Linked DNA regions of Anolis sagrei. The protein of the gene in region 1 interacts with the protein of each later gene in a pairwise test. Links are inferred from orthologs where the notes say so. Each region holds a gene or a part of one and is shown on either strand. Other genes may lie near its edges.

What was found. The genes of interacting proteins can lie anywhere in the genome.
Region 2: the proteins of CINP (region 1) and ATRIP interact in binary tests that used the Homo sapiens proteins (3 or more experiments, as listed by UniProt). The link is inferred for Anolis sagrei from reciprocal best matches to the Homo sapiens genes CINP and ATRIP.
Region 3: the proteins of CINP (region 1) and CLUAP1 interact in binary tests that used the Homo sapiens proteins (3 or more experiments, as listed by UniProt). The two-hybrid records come from large-scale screens. The link is inferred for Anolis sagrei from reciprocal best matches to the Homo sapiens genes CINP and CLUAP1.

Annotation. Positions count from the first base shown.
Region 1 is NC_090021.1:323,897,691-323,905,583, forward strand, and holds the start of CINP (cyclin-dependent kinase 2-interacting protein), read right to left. Parts: upstream 3,104-7,893; 5' UTR 3,044-3,103; coding exon 3,037-3,043; intron 1-3,036. UniProt on the Homo sapiens protein: Component of the DNA replication complex, which interacts with two kinases, CDK2 and CDC7, thereby providing a functional and physical link between CDK2 and CDC7 during firing of the origins of replication.
Region 2 is NC_090022.1:67,075,696-67,082,639, reverse strand, and holds the start of ATRIP (ATR-interacting protein), read right to left. Parts: upstream 3,107-6,944; 5' UTR 2,997-3,106; intron 1,009-2,996; 5' UTR 991-1,008; coding exon 573-990; intron 1-572. UniProt on the Homo sapiens protein: Required for checkpoint signaling after DNA damage. Required for ATR expression, possibly by stabilizing the protein.
Region 3 is NC_090034.1:26,673,321-26,680,489, forward strand, and holds the start of CLUAP1 (clusterin-associated protein 1), read right to left. Parts: upstream 3,107-7,169; 5' UTR 2,985-3,106; coding exon 2,963-2,984; intron 1-2,962. UniProt on the Homo sapiens protein: Required for cilia biogenesis. Appears to function within the multiple intraflagellar transport complex B (IFT-B). Key regulator of hedgehog signaling.

The sequences.
Region 1 (7,893 bases):
GACAAATCTCAAAATCCCTTGCTACAGAGATTTTCCAACTCACCTACATTTTAACTATTTTACTAAATAATGGTGTTCATTTTGTGGTTTTTTTTAAATGAGAGCTAAAAAGTGGCTTGGCCCAGATATATTTGGTACAAGTTCTGACTGTAAAAAGATACTTGAAAATATTACTGCTGGATCTTCTATTGATTTACACCAGGGCTTCTTAAACCTTTTCCACTCGTAACCTCGTTCCACCCGGGTGTATCGATATATGAAATAATAAAAAGTCAAACATTTACTGATAACAAATTGGCATTTGCAGGGCTTGTATTTAGGTGATTTTCCTTTTTACAAAATACAGTCAAAGCATATTTTGCCGAATCCACCGTAAACACTGCACACTGTTGCTAACAGATTTGAGTAAGTTCCTAAAACAGCCACCAGATTACTAAATTTATTGCGACCCCCATTTTCAGCTTACGGCGATTTTCATTGGGACCCACAGTTTTAAAGAAGCCATGATCTACAGAACATTTGCTTGCTTATTTTGTAAACTCTTCTACCAGGACTTTTCTTCTCTTTTTTTGTACTTTGTTTATTTTGTACTTTTTTCCCAGGGCAAAAGTCAAGGTTGCAGACATCAAGTGCACCAAAAATGTATCTCATGCAGAAGTTTTTCAGAAATTAAATAAACAAGGCAATTATTTGATACCAAGTTACAACAGATTTGTCCTTTTGATCTGTTTGCCTTGATTTTAACTTTAAGATTGTAAGTGTGATTGATACTATGTATATTATTTTTATCTTGTATGCTGTCCTGAGTCCCCTCACATAGACAATTACAACAGAAAGGAGGAAACCATGAAAATAAACAAAATCTGCTACCAGTATTTTTTTAAAAAAACCTCTAAAATCAGGACATTAAATAAAGAACACTGAAAAATGGGAATTCCAGACAAGAAACAATCAGGGCCAGCTAATAACCTCCCAATAAAGAATACACCGTATTGTCGAAGGCTTTAATGGTCGGAATCACTGGGTTGTGTAGGTTTTTTTGGGCTATATGGCCATGTTCTAGAGGCATTATCTCCTGACGTTTCACTTGCATCTATGGCAGGCATCCTCAGAGGTAGTGAGGTCTGTTGGAGTTAGGAGAATGGGTTTATATATCTGTGGAATGACCAGGGTGGGACAAAGAACTCTTGTTTGCTGGAGCTAGGTGTGACTGTTTCAAATGACTACTTTGATTAGCATTGGATGGCCTGGCAGTGCCTGGGGCAATCTTTTGTTGAATGGTGATTAGATGTCCCTGATTGTTTTCCCTCTGTTGTTTTGCTGTTGTAATTTTGATAATGATGGTGATGAATTTGTGATTTTACCTTGACGATTTGGCTGCATGTCATTATTTGATCTGTACTGTAATGTATTTTAATGTATTATGATGTTATTATGTTTTAGCTTATTTCTGTATGAATTTTCTGTTGTTAGCCGGCCTGAGTCCCTCTTCGGAGGTTGAGAAGACCGGGTTATAAAAGCTCTAAATAAATAAATAAATTTAGAGGTTTTTTTTAATACTGGTAGCCAGGATTAGAGGCGGCCCTAGGTAATTTTCAAAGGTAAGCAAACAGTATTTTGCCCCCTCCCCAACCAATCACTGATATATATTTTCTGTTCGTCATGGGAGTTCTGTGATTCAGTTCCATCATTGGTGGAGTTCAGAATGCTCTTTGATTGTAGGTGAACTATTTTATTTATTTATTTGTCGTGTCAGGGCAACCAGTCAATTATATTACATTTCTAACAGAACAAAGCAAACAAACAGACAAAATACAACATTTGTGAATTTGGTAGTTGATTAAATGTCCTTTGACCAGTATCTAGCCACTTGGAGTGCTTCTGGTGTTGCTGCAAGGAGGTCCTCCCTTGTGCATGTGGCTGGGCTCAGGTTGCATTGCAGCAGGTGGTCAGTGGTTTGCTCCTCTCCACATTCGCATATCAAGGATTCCACTTTGTAGCCCCATTTCTGAAGGTTGGCTCTGCATCTTGTGGTGCCAGAACGCAGTCTGTTCAGCGCCTTCCAAGTCGCCCAGTCCTCTATGTGCCCAGGGGGGAGTTTCTCATTTGGTATCAGCCATTGGCTGAGGTTCTGGGTTTGAGCCTGCCACTTTTGGACTCTTGCTTGCTGAGGTGTTCTGGCGAGTGTCTCTGTAGATCTTAGAAAACTATTTCTAGAATTAAGTCGTTGACGTGCTGGCTGATACCCAAACAGGGGATGAGCTGGAGATGTCTCAGGTGAACTATACATCCCAGTAACTACAACTCGCATATGTCAACGTCTATTTTCCCCCAAGAGTGCCTCAAGAGCGCCCCTGGGCAAAATCAACTATACTGCAAATGCTTACTTTGCGTAATGGGTTGAGCCGCCCCTGGCCAGGATACACCCCAGGCAGCAACCAGCCAGATCTTGAAACTGCAAGGCTATTAAATGCTAATCAAGGTGGCCAATTGCAACATTCACACCTGCCTCAAACGGACAAGAGTTCTTTCTTCCACCTTGAACATTTCACAAATATATAAACCCATTTTTCCTAGTTTCCAAGAGACCTCACAATTTATTTATTTTATTTATTTTATTTGCTTTATTTCTATACCGCATTTTTCAGCCCAAACATCCTCACAACCTCTGAGGATGCCTGCCATAGATGCAGGCGAAACGTCAGGAGAGAATGCTTCCAGGCTTCCATAGAGCCTGGAAAACTTAAAGCAACCCAGTGATGAAAGCTTTCGACAATACAAAGAATAGCATTACTAGGCCTGGTCCAAGTTGGGCCCTCCAGGTGTTTTGGACTTTAACTCCCACAATTCCTAACAGCCTACGGCTGTTAGGAATTGTGGGAGTTGAAGTCCAAAACACCTGGAGGGCCCAAGTTGGACCAGGCCTGGCTGACACTAATAATGCAGCGCATTGTGAGTCTACACTAATGCAGTGAGTCTCACAGTGCAGCTGCGGCCTAGCGTTGGGCCTTGTCTCTCATCCCCGGGCACGCTTACCGGCCATCCCCGCCGCTGCCGGAGGAGGAGGAGGGAGCGAGGCCCAGCCTCTCGCCTCAAGCTCCGCCCCAGCCTCCGCCTCCTTCTCCCGGGGGCCTCCAAGGCCTGGCTGGGTCTCCCTTCAGCCTCCCGCCATGAGGGGCCCCGCCGAGCCCTACTGAGCTGAGAGGGTGAGTGAGGGCAGCGCTTGCGGCCTAGTCGTCGGTTGAGCGGGCAAGGGGAGGTGGGTTGGGTTGGGTTGGGGGAGTCCCCTGTGGTCTCCATGGAAATGCGTTGCTGGGGATGATAGGTAAAGGCAGCTCCCACTTGGGCAGGCTCTGCTACTCCCTCCTGCCTTTGCAGTTGAAGTATATTATCATTGGGTTGTTGTAGGTTTTTCCGGGCTATATAGCCATGTTCTAGAGGCATTTTCTCCTGACGTTTCGCCTGCATCTATGGCAAGCATCCTCAGAGGTAGTGAGGTTTGTTGGAGTTAGGAAAATGGGTTCATATATATCTGTGGAATGACTGGGGAAGAGCTCTTTGCCCCACCCCAGTCATTCCACAGATATATAAACCCATTTTCCTAACTCCAACAGACCTCATCACCTCTGAGGATGCTTGTCATAGATGCAGGCAAAACGTCAGGAGAAAACACCTCTAGAACATGGCCATATAGCCCAAAAAAACCCACAAGAACCTAGTGATTCCAGCCATGAAAGTCTTCGACAATATATTATGATTATTATCAGAGGCAGAACTTTCAAAAGGATGGGAGCCTTCTGAAGGGGAAGCACTGACATGGCTAAACAGTTTTCCAGCAAAGGGCGACTAAAATGATCAAGGGTCTGGAGAACAAGCCCTATGAGGAGCGGCTTAAGGAGCTGGGCATGTTTAGCCTGAAGAAGAGAAGGCTGAGAGTGGATATGATAGCCATGTATAAATATGTGAGAGGAAGCCACCGGGAGGAGGGAGCAAGCTTGTTTTCTCCTTCCCTGGAGACTAGGACGCGGAACAATGGCTTCAAACTACAAGAAAGGACATTCCATCTGAACATGAGGAAGAACTTCCTGACTGAGAGCTGTTCAGCAGTGGAACTCTCTGCCCCGGAGTGTGGTGGAGGCTCCTTCTTTGGAAGCTTTTAAACAGAGGCTGGATGGTCATCTGTCAGGGGTGATTTGAATGCAATATTCCTGCTTCTTGGCAGGGGGTTGGACTGGATGGCCCATGAGGTCTCTTCCAACTCTTTGATTCTATGATTCTATAATGAGAAAGTGTTGGTTTCTAATATATGTAATTTCTTTATCCTTGTGGGTAAACAGTATTTGATTACGTTTTCTTGCCCTGGTGAAAGGAGTTGGACTGGATGGCCTTAAGTATTTTCTATTGGCTATAGGGGTTCTGTGTGGGAAGTTTGCCTCAATTCTGTCTTTCGTGGGGTTCAGAATGCTCTTTGATTATAGGTGAACTATAAATCCCAGTAACTACAACTCCCAAATGTCAAGGTCTATTTCTCCCAATTGGGTTGTTATGTGTCTTGTGTCCAAATTTGGTGTCAATTCGTCCAGTGTTTTTTGAGTTCTGTTAATCCCACAAACGAACATTACATTTTTATTTATATAGACTAGAATGAGATAATTGGAAGAGACTGCAAAGGGACACATTAATAAAAGTGGTCCCAGTGGTGATCAGCACACTGAGTGCAGTGTCTAAAGACCTTGGCCTGCACTTAAAAACAATTGGCGCTGAGCAAATTACCATCTGTCAGCTGCAAAAAGCCACCCTACTGTGATCTTCACGCATTATTCGCTGATACATCACACAGTCTTAGACATGGAAGCCCACCTTGGACAAGTCATACTCTTTCAGGGTGCATCTACACTGTAGAACCAATGCAGTTTGATACCATTTTAACTGTCGCGTCTCAGAGTTATGGAATCCTGGGAGTTGTGGTGTGGTGAAGCACCAGCACTTTTTGGCAAAGAAGGCCTTACGGATTAGAATGACAACTGCTAGAATTCCATAGCATTGAACCACGGCATTTAAAGTGGCAGTAATTACACAGTTGTTGTGCAATTAATGTAGATGCAGCATCAGAAGAAGGCAAGCCAACCCTCTGAACAAATCTTGCCCAGAAACCGCTTTGATTGTGTCACCATAAATTGGAAGCAACTTGATGGCATAGAACAACAAAATGAGATATAACCCAAAAACATTGTAAGCCCGGCTTACACATATTATATCAATATAAACATATGGCTAAAAGTATGGTAGTTTACTTTTGAAGCTTCTAATGTGAATGTCCTCCAGTTAGAGCTGTTGTTATTACCCAATTACAGTCATCCTTCAAATCAGGTGGCGTCATCTTCACATGTCAGAAGCAACCACAGTTGCTTTCATTGTTGCTGGTGTTTTGTAGTTGCTGATTTTGTTAATATTTCTGGTAGTTTAGCTACAATATTTCTGGTAGTTTAGCTACTATTGTCTGGTTGCTCCTGACACGATATATAAATAAGCTACAATATTGCGGTGCGGTATGATAGGGTTCCATAGGGGTGACACTATGAATTACCATACTGGATGACATCAACATAGTGGCATTACCATGGGAAAGGTAGCTTTCATGTCGTTTCTCCTTTTTCTCCCCATTTCCAGCTTCCCAAATAAAGGAAAAGTCAAATCAGTTCAGCAGCCACAGCCACAGCTCTTTGGGATTTCTAGAGGGGTTTTTTAAAGAAAGTAATAAAACCCTGTACATACTTAAGAAAGCTCTGATGTATTGCTTCTTATTTTTTTCATGGCAACCAACATTGAGAACACATTTTGGGGTGGGCTTCTAACAAACCTCAGTTAAACCTGGGGTTTATTTCTTACCTCTTTGATTATTGCTTGTAAATTCTTCATTCTGTGGACCACTCAGAAAATAAAGGTTCAGTATCACTTATCCCTTGTGCTTGGATTTCTGATTTATTTTTAGATTTTGTTACATATGTTGTGCATGAAGTAAAATGTGTGTGTACATTGAACAATCAGAAAGCAAGGATCACTTTCTCAGCCTCACATGTAGACAATTTTTGATTTTAATTTCTGGATAAGGGATACTCAACCAGTACAAGTTGGTTGGGAATTCACGTTTAATGTCAGAATCACAGATTTCCATATGTAGAAAGTGTGAATGTGAGATATTTATGGTTTGTTCTCTCACCTCCTCAACTTAAGAGTACTCTATATATGTTTTGCTTCAGTAGAAATAAAAGGCATTGCTGATGGAGACTATAGGAATCCAGTTTGGAATCAGAAGTTGTGGTGGCATCTCCTATTAGCTGTAGACATCAGTTGCCTTATAGGTTTCTGTAGTTTAGTGCTTCCTTCTGCAACATGCATATTCGGTTCTACTCTGGAAGACCTCCTGATGTGGTATGAATATTTTATGCATTTTTTGAGTCAGGTGAATCTGAGAGTGAGAGCCTCTCCTTTGTTTTTTTTTTAAAGAGCATAACCATGTAAAAGTGGCAATAGTTAATGTTGACTTTTAGAGAGTGCTTCTCCATTTAAGTCCTCCCCTGTTGCTTTTAGGGAAGGAAATATCTGCAATTTCCTAATGTACCGCTAGACAGATATAAAAAGGTAAAGGTTTTCCCACAACATTAAGTCAACATTAACTTTGAGGTGGTGATGTTCACCTCAATTCCTAAGCTGAACAGCCGGCGTTGTTCATAGTTGCCTTCTAGGTCATGTGGCCGGCATGACTGCATGGAGTGCCGTTACCTTCCCACTGTAGCGGTACCTATTGATGTCACATTTGCATGTTTTTGAACTGCTAGGTTGGCAGAAGCTGGGGCTAACAGCGAGAGCTCACCCCGTCCCACAGATCCAAATCGCCTTCCAGACAGCAAGTTCTGCAGCTTAGTGATTTAACCCACTGCACCACCACAGCCCCTTCAGATAGATATATCCTGCTTTAAAGTTGGAAATTGGATGAACCTCTGGCTTCTTTATAGCCATTTTTTGTGTGTCAGGAGCGACTTGAGAAACTGTGAGAGAATTGGCTGTCTGCAAGGACATTGCCTAGGGGATTCCCAAATGATTTGATGTTTTTACCATCCTTGTGGGTGGGTTCTCTCATGTCCCTGAATGGGGAGCTGGAGCTAACAGAGGAAGCTTATCCGCACTCTCCCCGGATTTGAACCTTCGACCTGTGTGGCTTCAGTCCTGCCGGCACAAGGGTTTAACCCATTGCGAAACCAGGGGCTCCATTTCCATATAGCCATAAAATGCTGTGATACAAGACTAGTTGAGTGAGTGCTTCCGCTCTGGCATATGAATAATATGCATTCTGGGGAAGAAAGCGCATACATTTAGCTCGTAAGTGTCATTGTGACTCTATATATGTTTGTTTTGAAGAAGAGGGACAAGGAAGCTTCCTAACAGTTTAATAATCATAACTCGCTGTCCTCATTTAAATAAGTATTCCAGCTATATACATAATGATCATTCTTAATATTCATTTAAAACTTTCACATTGTAAATGTACATCACATACATTATTTTGTAATCCTTGCATTGAAATTACTTAATTGTGCTGTCTTGTCAGTTGTTATGAAGGAACTCCATTAATTAATTGCAGTAGATGCATAGTGGTTGACCTAATCTGTTTGATATTTTTTTTACGTCAGCTTAAGCCAAAGCTGCTTAAATGGGGGTGAGTGGGTAAAAACTCTTTAAAAGTGTTCTAATCATGAATTTTAGTGGTTGCAATCTTAGTTACGCAAGTTGTCTGTCACATGAGAACAGGGCATTGAAACAGATTAGGCAGGACATTCGTTGTGATGCTTCCCCGATTGTGATCCCAGATGTTTACCAGGTAAATGTTAGTCC
Region 2 (6,944 bases), on another chromosome or scaffold:
TATGAAATAAATAAAATAAAATAATAAAATAAATTTGGAATGCTTTTGATATGAAATAAATAGTGCTCCAATCCCCACTCTGCCATAGAAACCCAATGGATAATATTGGTGAAGTCGTATTCATTTCAGCCTAAGAGGAAGGCAATAGCAGACATACTCTGACAAAAACTTTGCCAAGAAAACCATATTATAGGGCCTCCTATAAGTTGGAAACCATTGGAAAACACCAAACAGCAAAACAACTAATGATGTTAAGCCCCATCACTCATGATCTCCAAGAAAATTCTCAGGAACCATTTGTATTCCTTGGCCTTATCTTGTTATGTGCTATTTCTTTTATAACAATTGTATTTCATTTTAGCATTTTGTCAGGTGTAATGTCTAATTTATGGTTGTCACGGGCTTTTATTAACCCTAGTGCTTTATTTTAGCATCCGCACTGCCTAAAGAGGGGTTTGTGCCCAAAAGGCAACCTCAACAGGTTTACTATCTTTTAAAGAAAAACAGTAATAACAGTGTAAATCATCAATCCTCATTGCTCCAGACTCCAGTCTCACTGAGAATACACATACCAAATACTTGCTTAGATTTTGTCTCAGTTGCAAAGTTGAAATTCCATTGCTTGATGTGATCTGCTGCATTGGTGGTACTTTTTGACAGTGAAGACAGTTCTCTATTTTGCTCTGCTCTTGATGCATTTGTGTTTACAGAAACGTTTTGTGTCATTGCCTGGGAAGCAATAATATCAATTTCCTCCAAGTCATCTGCAGTGAAATCATCACTGTCCTGAAATGGATCTTCCATTTCTTTATGCCCAGTTGTGGCAAGGGTTTTATAGCGCTTATTGGGTGGAAATCCATCTCCATGGTTTCCAGTGTTACTTGCAGTTCTCTGGAAGGATGAAGTCGAAGCAGTCACTCTGGCCTGATCCACACCGTATAATATAGAGCTGTTTCTCTTCTTATTCCCAAATAAATGGTTCACTGACATTCTGTGTCAGGAATTATCCTAGCAAAAAGAAACCACAAAACAAGGTTAAAGCTGCCTATTTAAAATCAGTTCTGGGACCTCTATTTCCTCAGTACTTTTCAATGTGTTATTAAAGCCAACAGTAATCACCTTTTCAAGGAAATGATCAGGCCTTGCTCACAAATGCTCATGAGTGGGACCTAAACAAACCTACTGGAAGGTCTAATGCAGCGTTTCTCAACCTAGGGGTTGGGAACACTGGAGGGTCACCAGGGGGTGTCAGAGGGGTCACCAAAGACCATAAGAAAACACAGTATTTTCTGTTCGTCATGGGAGTTCTCTGTGGGAAGTTTGGCCCAATTCTCTCGTTGGTGGGATTCAGAATCTCTTTCATTGTAGATGAGCTATAAAGCCCAGCAACTACAACTCCCAAATGTCAAGGTCTATTTTCCCCAAACTCCACCATTTGGGCATATTGAGTATTCGTCCCAAGACTGGTCCAGGTCCATCATTGTTTGAGTCCACAGTGCTCTCTGGATGCAGGTGAACTTGTTGTTCATTCGTTCAGTCGCTTCCGACTCATGCACCAGCCCACGCCAGAGCTCCCTGTCGGCCGTTACCACCCCCAGCTCCTTCAAGGTCAAGCCAGTCACTTCAAGGATGCCATCCATCCATCTTGCCCTTGGTCGGCCCCTCTTCCTTTTGCCTTCCATTTTCTCCAGCATCATTGTCTTCTCTAAGATTTCCTTTCTTCTCATGATGTGGCCAAAGTACTTCAACTTTGTCTCTAATATCCTTCCTTCCAATGAGCAGTCGGGCTTTGTTTCCTGAAATATGGACTGGTTGGATATTCTTGTGGTCCAAGGCACTCTCTGAATTTTCCTCCAGCGCCACAGTTCAAAAGCATCTATCTTCCTTTGCTCAGCCTTACCTATGGCCCAGCTCTCACATCCGTAGGTGACTACAGGGAATACCATTGTTTTAAGTATGTGGATCTTCATTGCCAGTGTGATGTCTCTACTCTTCACTATTTTATCAAGATTGGTCATTGCTCTCCTCCCAAGAAGTAAACGTCTTCTGATTTCTGCAGTAATCTTTGCACCTTGAAATACAAAGTCTGTCACAGCCTCCACGTTTTCTCCCTCTATTTGCCAGTTATCAATCTGTCTGGTTGCCATAATTCTGGTTGAATTTATGTTTAACTGCAATCCAGCTTTTGCACTTTTGAACTACAACTCCAAAACTCAAGGTCAATGCCCATCAAACCCTTCCAGTATTTTCTCTTGGTCGTGGGGGTTCTGTGTGGGAAGTTTGGCCCAATACTCTCGCTGGTGGAGTTCAGAATGCTCTCTGATTGTAGATTAACTATAAATCCCAGGAACTAAAATTCCCAAATGACAAAATCAATCCTGCCCCCTACCTCACCAGTATTCAAATTTGGCCATATTTGTGCCAAATTTGGTCCAGTGAATGAAAATACATCCTGAATATCAGATATGTACATTACGATTCAAAACACTAGCAAAATTACAGTTATGAAGTAGCAACAAAAATAATTTTGTGGTTGGGGGTCACCACAACATGAGGAATTGTATTAAGGGGTCGCGGCATTAGGAAGGTTGAGAACCACTGGTCTAATGATTTGGACAAGCCGCAGGAACAAGGAGAATATCATGCCTGTAAATCAAGATCTGACTTTAGTGATATTTAGTAACAATCTGGATAACCCACAAGAAGAATGACATTTCTGGAAGTTTAGCAGAAGTATCACCACTACAAACCTCTTTAAAACAGACTGATATCCAAATCGTCACAATGGATACACACTTTAGAATTAATCCAGTTTGGCACCACTTCTAACTGCTGTGTCTCCGTGCTATGGGATCATGGGAATTGTAGCTCCACAAGGTCTACAACTCCCATGATTCCATAGGTGTGAGTAATAGCAGCTCAAACGGTGCCAAGTCGCACTCATTCTAGGGTGCAGATGCTCCCCCACGACCTCCCTGCACTCTCTCTGGACTTACCTTGGTTTTCCCGCGTCAGGAGAGGAGGCTCTGCAAGAAGGGCAGCAGCATCTGCCCGGCATCGCTTCCCCGGTCTCTGTCAACCAATAGGAAGCCAGCTCTCTCCCAATGACGTCCCATCCGGTCTATTGGGGGAGGGACGTGCAAAGAAAAGGTGACGCGCGAAATGGAAGGAGCTCACCCATTGGACGGGAGGGATTTCTTTTCCCTGTCTTTAGGATTCGTGACTAAACGCCAAGGATCCTTGCAAGCACAAAGTGTGAGGGGGTAGGGGGGCAGGTGGATGTGTTTTTTAATCTCGCCTCTTCCCACCCACACTATAGAAATAATCTAGTTTGGCATAGACACTGAGAACTGGGAAGCCCTGGCCCTTGAGCGCTCCAGCTGGAGGTCAGCTGTGACCAGCAGTGCTGCAGAATTGGAGGAGGCACAAGTGGAGGGTGAAAGAGTGAAACGTGCCAGGAGGAAGGCGCGTCAAGCCAACCACGACTGGGACCATCTTCCACCTGGAAACCAATGCCTTCACTGTGGGAGAAGATGCGGGTCAAGAATAGGGCTCCACAGCCACCTACGAATCCACAAGGAAACCCATCATAGAAAATCATCTTACTCGTCCAACGAGGGATCGCCTAAGTCAAGTCAATCTAGTTTGGCAGCCACTTTAAATGCCTTGGTTCAATGTTATGAAATCATGGGAGTTGAGTCCAGAACCTCAATCCATGGCTGATGTCAAATGAGAGACTCCCCCCTGGGCACACAGTAGACTGGGCGATTTGGAAGGCGCTGAACAGACTGCGCTCTGGCACCATAGGATGCAGAGCCAACCTTAAGAAATGGGGCCACAAAGTGGAATCCATGGCATGCGGGTGTGAAGAGCAAACCACAGACCACCTACTGCAATGCAACCTAAGCCCTGCCACATGCACAATGGAGGACCTTCTGATAGCAACACCAGAGGCACTCCAAGTGATCAAAGGACATTTAATAGAATGCCAAGTTGGCAAACTTTGTGATTTTTTTAAAAAATCCAATACAACTGTTTGGTTTGCTCCTGACACAATACATAAATAAGATGGGAGTTGTATTTTTCACAAGTGGCTGAGGGGGAAAAGGAAAGGGCCTGAGGATGTTAGTAATGATGGGAGTTGAAGTCCAAAACACCCGGAGGGCCGAAGTTGGCCCATGCCTGGTGTAGATTAGTATCATAAGTATAATGTCATTCGTTTTTTCTGTATTAATATGTACTGAAAGACGTTTGTTTTGTTTTGTCTAAGTCACAGCCACAAATGCATAAGAACAAAATCAGTTATGTGGTCCCTTCTGGAAAACATCTGCTTTTGCATAAATGTGCATAACCTCCCAACCTTTTGTCCTACAGGTTTGTGGATTTCAGCTCCCAGAAACCCCAACCAGCTTGGCCAACTGAAATGCACAAAGAGTGTAATCTTCTGACCACTTCTTTAGGAATATTGAACACATTGGGACTTATTTCTGAACCATGTTCCAAGTACTGCAGAGTTACTTACTCTTCAACCACTCCAACATAGAGATTCTTAATATGTGTTTCACAATGTTTATCTGGAAATTACCCTTTGTGGTTTTACAAAGATAAGAGGATTGCAACTTTGGGTCAGAAGATACGGGGAGGCATGGCAGCGTATTCTTCTACTTGGTGTTGTAAGGTGCCTAACTTAATGACCAAACATGGAGCAGCAGTCAGTCTTGCCTCTTTAGATAAGTTATCTAGCTGAGTTGTGCATTATATTATTCCCTCTGGCTGTTATAAGATTGGGGTGGCAGTACAGGAGAACAAGGATAGGCCTGCTAGTTTTCGCTGGACTACATCATTCTTCATTTTTGGCAATGCAGGTCAATAACATCTAGAGGACCTTTTCTAATGGCTTCTTCAACAGAAATTGAGCTATGTGGTTCAAACATCTTTACACCTTATGTCGACAATATTTAGGACAGAGGTTGCAAAAGTATTACCATGCCCTCTGGTAGTTCTACATTTACAATTCCAGGATCTCTGAGGATACTGTATTCCATAAGCCAACAACACCTTGAGGTTCATTTATATGTGAAGCTATCCAAGCAGGACAAGTATTTTCTACCCCTGTGACCTTCTATGAGCCACATGGGCTGTCAAAGCCAAACTCCCCAATCATGGAAATTATCACAAATATATTTCTAGTTTTGAAAGCGCAACTGTATTGGGCTTCCTGCAATATACAGTATTTAAAAGGTAAACTCCAATTCCTTTTTAAGGATTAATGAATGAATTTTATTACAGACCAAGAGTGTAAAACTTTAAAACATTAAAAACAAGAAGTTTTTTTTAAAAAAAAAAACTGTTAACATTAAGACCCGAAGTTCACAACATTAAAAGAAGAATGTCCATGATATGGAGTCGATCGTGTGCTTGGCTTCATATATGACACTGAGTATCTATATAAATAAAAATGTAATGTTCGTTTGTGGGATTAACATAACTCAAAAACCACTTGACAAATTGACACCAAATTTGGACACAAGACACCTACTAACCCAAGGCGTGATCATCACTCAAAAATTTGAGTTTGTCATTCAGGAGTTGTAGTTGCTGGGATTTATAGTTCACCTACAATCAAAGAGCATTCTGAGCACCAAAGATGGAATTGGACCAACCTTGGCACACAGAACTCCCATGACCACCAGAAAATACTGGAAGGAGTTGTTGAGCATTGGCCTTGAGTTTTGGAGTTGTAGTTCACCTACATCCAGAGAGCACTGTGGACTCAAACAATGATGGTTCTGGACCAAACTTGGCATGAATATTCCATATGCCCCAATATGAACACAGATGGAGTTTGGGGGAAATAGATCTTGACATTTGGGAGTTGTATTTACTGAGATTTATAGTTCACCTACAATCAAAGAGCTTTCTGAACCCCACGAACGATAGAACTGGGGCAAATTTCCCACACAGAACCCCTATGACCAATAGAATATACTTAAGGCAATCCAGTCCAACTCCCTTCACCAGGGCAAGAAAACATAATCAAATACTGTTTACACACAAGCATAAAGAAATTACACATATTAGAAACCAACACTTTCTCATGACTTTATTTTTTAGATCACTAGACTGGGCCACAGCAAGGCATGGCAGGGGATGGCTAGTGGATAATAAAACGAGTAAGTTAAAACTTTACCTGCCAAAATCGTCCACAAACTGCTTCCTTATTTTTATAGCTGACACACAAAACATAGCCACTCTATAAATGATCAATGGATCACTATAAGAAGTTTTAGATAATATTTATTTTTTTTATTTCACATATTTGTATCTTGTCCTTCTCGTGCCCCCCCCCCGGGGGGGGGGGGAGGATTCAGTGCAACTTCCCAACAGGCATCTATTTGATGCCAACATACAAATGATAAATAATAATTACAAATAAAACAGTTCATTAAAACATTAATTATTAAGACATTCATTTAAAATCACACAAGTTCATTTCTGCCAGGGATCTTTTATACAATGGGAGTAATAAAAACAGATAAAGTATCCTAATAGATGTGACATTCTAAAAGGGCATGCCTGGTAGTTTCTACTCTCTCCATACCGCATGGGCATACATGCTTATGGTAGGGGATACCTGTAAACCTTTTTAATGTTTTAATTTAACTTTTAATGCACAACTGCATCGGGCTTCGTGCAATCTACAGTATTTAAAAGCTGAACTGCAATTCTTTTTCAAGGATGGTACAAGAAGTCTGGAGGGCTAAACAGCTAAAAAACAACCTTAAAAGGTGCATCCACTCTTATATCCACACTTACAAGCTGTATCCCAAGGTCATACTTCATCTAACCTGTTATAGACACCATTATGTAGATCTTGCCTTTCTCCTCTGTTATTGCTCATGCAATTTTAATCAAGATCTAAAAGACCTTATAGGTTTCTATGT
Region 3 (7,169 bases), on another chromosome or scaffold:
GATTACATAGATAGATCACATAGATCAGTGGTTCCCGACCTTTTTTTTTTATTATCAGGGACCACTTTGTTGTTAGCAGGGACCAAAGGGTTCAAGAATAATAAATAAAACTGTGTAATCTAAAAATAAATTTTAATCAAAACTTTTAACATATTCATTAAACTTAATAGTAACATGAAATAAGAGTACTATTACAATATTTTAAAAAAGAACATTTTAAATAGAAAATTAAATTTAGTTTGCATCAATGTGATTTTTGAGCTTGCACCTTCCTTACAAATAGGGTACTCCTGGGGCTAATATTATTGCTCAAAACTACAACCACATCATTATTTACTTTCAATCGATTCCTGGACTTGTTTTTAATTACCAGCAAAGCAGAAAACCCTTGTTTGCATAAAGTTGTGGAGAAGAGCATAAGATAGTGCAAGGCAATTCCTTGAATTTTAGAATAAAAAAATCACTTTTTTGCACCAAAACTCCTCAAGAGAATCAGATTCAAACACGTCCTTGCAGTTTCTATCATTTTGAAATTCAATGAGCTCTTCCTTGATTTCTTCTTAAGCCTCTCCATTTCAGTCACCATTAAATAAGTAAAAAATTAATATGAATATTGAGGGTTCACAGTCAGTAAAACTACTGGAGCCGTTGAATCACTAAACAGCAAAACAGAATCACTGACATAGTCGAGCAAGACAAAAGAATGTGTACGACTGACTGAACGATCACTTGCCCTCCACCCCAGACTCCTGACTGGCCTGATGTCCTACTCGCTGACGTTGCCCACCTAGCAACAAATTCATTAAAATGAATAAAGGTTTAAAATTTTAAATGTTTTGCGGATCATATTTTAGTTCTTGTGGACCACTGGTTGGGAACCATTGACAAAGACAGATGGACAGACAGACAGATATCTATACATCCATGTACTGGACTAGATAGCCCACAAAGTCTCTTCCAATTCTATGGTTATATAGATTAGACAGACAGACAGACAGACAGATAGATTACATAGTCAGTGGTTCTCAACCTGTGGATCCCCAGGTGTTTTGACCTACAACTCCCAAAAATCCCAGCCAGTTTACCAGCTGTTAGGATTTCTGGGAGTTGAAGGCCAAAACATCTGGGGACCCACAGGTTGAGAACCATGGACATAGATAGATATAGATAAATAGATACATTACATAGATAGATAGATAGATAGATAGATTGATGGATGGATGGATAGAGACAGATTACTATGATAGATTTTTTTTTCATGTCAGGGGCAACTTGAGAAACTGCAAGTTGCTTCTAGTGTGAGGGAATTGGCCGTTGGCAAGGACATTGCCTAGGGGACTCTCGGATGTTTTGATGCTTTATCATCCTTGTGGGAGGCATCTCTCATGTCTAAACATGGGGAGCTGGAACTGAGATGGGAGCTCACCCCATTCCCCAGATTCGAACTGCCAACCTGTCGGTCAGCAGTCCTGCCGACACAAGGATTTAACCCATTGTGCCACTGGGGGCTCCACACAAAGATAGATTACATAGATCTAACTATTTATATATATGTAATCTATCTGTGGTATATCTCAATGGTGGCCCCTCACCTGTGGAATTCTCTACCCAGTGACATTAGATTGCCCCCCTCCCTCTTGTAGTTTAAAATGAAACTCAAAACCTGGTTATGGGACCAAGCGTTCAAACAGTAGAGGAAGCAATTTAGAATGAGGCCCAATTTGTGTGAATGACAATGGACTGACCTGGACTATGATTTCAAACCTGTGTAATTTAAACAATGTTTTAGTAATTTTAAAGCATTAACTAATTGTTTTAGTTACTTTTATCATTTATAACTGTTGTTAGCATTGGTTGTGAAGCCAACCTGCGTCCCCCTCCAGGGGCAAGAAGGGCAGGATACAAATATGCAAAATAAATAAATGTGTAATCTATCTATTTACCTCTATCATCTATCTATCTATGTAATCTACCTCCTACAAAGATCGATTACATAGATAGATTACATAGATAAACTATATATAGATTACATATAGATAGATAGATTACATAGACAGATTACATAGATATCGATAGATTACCTATACCTACATAGATATTTATATAGATAGATTACACACACACACACACACACATATATATATTTCTCTCTCTCTCTCTCTCTCTATATATATATATATATACTAGCCGTCCCCTGCCACGCGTTGCTGTGGCCCACATGGGGGTTCTGTGTGGGAGGTTTGGCCCAATTCTATCATTGGTTGGGTTCAGAATGCTCTGTGATTGTAGGTGAACTATAAATCCCAGGAACTACAACTCCCAAATGTCAATGTCTATCTTCCCCAAACTCCACCAGTGTTCACATTTGGACATATTGAGTATTTGTGTAGTTTGTTCCAGATCCATCATTGTTTGAGTCCACAGTGCTCTCTGGATGTAGGTGAACTACAACTCCAAAACCAAAGGACACTGCCCACCAGTATTTTCTGTTGGTCATGGGAGAATTGTGTGCCAAGTTTGGTTCAATTCCATCGTTAGTGGGGTTCAGAAGGCTCTGTGATTGTAGGTGAACTATAAATCCCAGCAACTAAAACTCCCAAATGACAAAATCAATTTTTTTAGTGAAGGACATACATTGTGTTGTTAGGTGTCTTGTGTCCAAAATTGGTGTCAGTGGTTTTTGAGTTCTGTTAATCCCACAAACGAACATTACATTTTTATTTATATAGAAGATAATCTATCTATCTATCTATCTATCTAGATAGAGGATTCGAAAATGCGGGGAAAGAGACAAGTTAGATAAAACAGGCAGTGAAGCAGATCCGGGGCGGGCCTCCTTCCCCATTCTCAGGCCTCGGGGCCTCTAGATTTCCTTTTTATACCCTCCAGCGAGGAATAATAACAATAATAACAATAACAATAATAATAATAACAACGATGATGATGATGCCATGGGACTCACTGCGGAGGTCGCGGAAAGACATGGTCCCTGTAAGGGCGCCAACTGGGTCTCTGTGTCTGTTCGTTTCTCTCTCTCCCTCGGCCAGGCTTCCCCGCGTCGCTTTCCAGGACTAGGCCGCGTCGCTATGGCAACGTCGCAACGGCGAGGCGCCGGGCTCAAACTTCGGCGGAAAGCGGTGCTTTGCAATGCCAGGGCCTGAAAGCAAGGACATTTTTAACACAGGCTGGACAAACCCAAGACTGGAAAGGAAAGGCCTGCCTGGTGTTAAAAGGGATAAAAAGGCCAGTGTTTAAAATGGGTTGTTATGTACATTTAAATATAATGATAATAATGGATATATAATACAGTGATAATAATATATTATCTGTATATTGTAATCTGTAATTGGTTAAATGGACGAACCCAGAGGGTGATTCTCCCCAATGCTTCCTCTTCATCCTGGAAAGAAGTGACAAGCGGAGTGCCATAAGCAGGGTTCCATCCTGGGCCCGGTCCTGTTCAACATCTTTATTAATGACTTAGATGAAGGGCTAGAAGGCAGGATCATCAAGTTTGCAGACGACACCAAATTGGGAGGGAGAGCCAATACTCCGGAGGACAGGAGCAGGATTCAAAGGGATCTTGACAGATTAGAGATGGGCCAAAACTCACAAAATGAAGTTCAACAGTGACAAATGCAAGATACTCCATTTTGGCAGGAAAAACGAAATGCAAAGATACAGAATGGGGGACAATGCCTGGCTCGAGAGCAGTACGTGTGAAAAAGATCTTGGAGTCCTCGTGGACAGGAAGTTAAACATGAGCCAACAATGTGATGTGGCGGCAAAAAAAGCCAATGGGATTTTGGCCCGCATCAATAGGAGCATAGTGTCTAGATCTAGGGAAGTAATGCTACCCCTCTATTCTGCTTTGGTTAGACCACACCTGGAATATTGTGTCCAATTCTGGGCACCACAATTCAAGAGAGATATTGACAAGCTGGAATGTGTCCAGAGGAGAGCAACTAAAATGATAAAGGGTCTGGAGAAGAAGCCCTATGAGCAGCGGCTTAAGGAGCTGGGCATGTTTAGCCTGAAGAAGAGAAGGCTGAGAGGGGATATGATAGCCATGTATAAATATGTGAGAGGAAGCCACAGGGAGGAGGGAGCAAGCTTGTTTTCTGCTTCCCTGGAGACTAGAACGCGGAACAATGGCTTCAAACTACAAGAGAGGAGATTCCATCTGAACATGAGGAAAAACTTCCTGACTCTGAGAGCCATTCAGCAGTGGAACTCTCTGCCCCGGAGTGTGGTGGAGGCTCCTTCTTTGGAAGCTTTTAAACAGAGGCTGGATGGCCATCTGTCAGGGGTGATTTGAATGCAATATTCCTGCTTCTTGGCATTTGCAGGGCCACCCGTCCTTTGCCTCAGTCACTGGGACAGTACAATGCCACCCATCACCTGGCATGACTATCTGTACACAGGGAGGTCATGCTCCACTGTCCAACAATTTATTTATTTATTTATTTATTTATTTGCAACATTTCTACCCGGCTCTTCTCAACCCCTGGGGACTCAGAGCGGCTTACACTGGCAACAATTTGATGCCGCAAATATAACAAATTACAGCAATATAAAACAATAAATAGAACAATAGATTAAAAACAATTAAATATTATTATCACAGTCATATAGTCATTTCCATTATTATCACAGTCATATAGTCCAGTTCGATGTCCAAAGTGCTATCATGCCTGCTGGACAAAGGCCTGGTTCCAAAACCATGATTTCAGTTTTTTCCTAAAGGAAAGGAGGGAAGAAGCCAAACTGGTTTTGCTGGGGAGTGAATTCCACAAGTGGGGGGTCACTACTGAGAAGGCCCTGTCCCTCGTCCCCACCAGACGCATTTGTGAAGCTGGTGGGACCAAGAGCAGGGCTTCGCCGGTTGATCTTGAACTACAAGGTGGAACGTCGAAGGAGATACGTTCGGACAAGTAAGCTGGGCCGGAGTCGTATAGGGTTTTATAGGCCAAGACCAGCATATACAATAACAATAACATTTCCCCTTTCCCAGGAACAAACTGCTTAATCCTGTCAACATGGACAATATCTATGCTTTTGACTCAATGGACAGCAGGGCCAAAGGTGCTGGACTTATTCGCTGGGGACTCATATCACAATTATCTTTATAATAAAACACATGGGACCTGATGACCCCCTTTGTTTGTCCCATTAAGACCTCTTCACACTTCCTTTGTCTCCCAGACAACCCTGCCCCCCATCAGCCATTGGAGAGCGGGAATCTGAAGACTACTCGGAAGCTTAAGCTAGTCCAATGCTCGGCAGGCAGGCTGCTCACAGGAGCAGGGTACAGGGAATGTACAACTCCCCTGTTAAGCCAGCTCCACTGGCTGCCTATTAGATTCTGAGCACAATTCACAGTGCTGGCCTTGACCTATAAAACCCTAAACGGCTCTGGTCCAGCTTACCTGTCCAAATGTATCTCTCTCTACGAACCCCCAAGGACCTTAAGATCGTCTGGAGAGACCATGCTCTCAGTCCCACCACCATCTCAATCACGGTTGGTGGGAACGAGAGACAGGGCCTTCTCAGTGGTGGCTCCTTGGCTGTGGAACTCCCTCCCGAATGAGATTAGATCTGCCCCCTCCCTCATGGCCTTCCGGAAAAAGCTAAAAAACCTGGTTATGGGATCAAGCATTCCCTAGATAGAGGGTTTTAATGGACTGGTTTTGCGGATGGCAATGGACTGAAGATGATTTTAATTGACTATTGAACGAATGGCTGTGGATTATTCGGAGGATGATATGAAATGGCAACATGTTTTTTATGTATTTATAACTGTTTTTATTGGCGATTAAATGTATTTTATGTTGTGTATTGTTTGGCACCGAAGGGTGCCTGTTAGCAGCCTGAATCTCTCCTTGGAGATGAGAAGGACGGGATAGAAATTATCTAAATAAATGGAGCCCCCGGTGGCACAGTGGGTTAAACCCCTGTGCCAGCAGGACTGAAGACCGACAGGTCATAGGTTCAAATCTGGGGAGAGTGCGGATGAGCTCCCTCTATCAGCTCCAACTCCTCATGTGGGGACACAAGAGAAGCCTCCCACTAGGATGATAAAGGATCAAAACATCCAGGCATCCCCTGGGCAACGTCCTTGCAGACAGCCAGTTCTCTCACACCAGAAGCGACTTGTAGTTTCTCAAGTCACTCCTGACACGACAATATATATATATATGAAGCAGGGAACAAAATCCTATTGGCTACAAACCCGCCTCTGCAGGGAATCCTCCTTCAGCTGTTCATGACGTCGACAGAGCCTAGGTGGATTACCGCAAGCTGGCATCACTTCATCTGATTTTAATAAATTACCTCGGTGGCGGCTTCTTCAACTTGGTGAGATTTATTTGGGAACACTGGGTAGCTTCTATGTCTCACCAGGCACACAGATCCACGGGTGGCCTGCTGCCAATACCAGCATTCGCTTATTGGATCTCGGTATCCACCCTTCAGGTTTTGCTATCCAAGGCCCTGATCTTACTATCTGCGGTTGTCTTAAATTGCTCAATTTCACTTGTGTGCTGTGTTGCTATGTACATATAAATTTAATAATATATAATATAATAATATACAATGCAATAATAAATATATATAATAATTAATATAATATATAATAATATATTATATTATTGAAATGGCAAGGAATAGGTTTTGAGGAAAAGAGACAAAGAGAGGTCCGGAGGTTTGAAAGCATGGATTTTATTTACCAGCTGGGGCCTGGTGTGGAGTCAACTCCCAAAAAACACCAGAGCAACTGAAATAGGTGTGGACTGTGGCTTTTATAGTTTTCCAGGTTCAAGCAAACAAAGAACATGCTACAACATACAATCATCATCATCCCTACGTCATCTGAGCATCATAAGAATATCAGGTTCTAACTTCCACATGCAAAAAGGCATGTCTTGCTGCAGAGCAAGCATCTTACACTCATCCATCAAAGGGGCCCTCTCTGACCTGTCAAGAGGTGCTCCTTAGTACCAGCCCGTTGCTCCTTAGTATGGGCTTCTCGGACAGGCTTATCTCTCTTCTCTGGAATGTCACCCCTCCCTCTTCAGCCCCTTCTGAAGACAAGCAGTTTGCTTGTCCGTTAGCATTCTTTCTATACACAGAGGGAACTAGATTTTTCTATGCATTTCAGTGCTTATAAA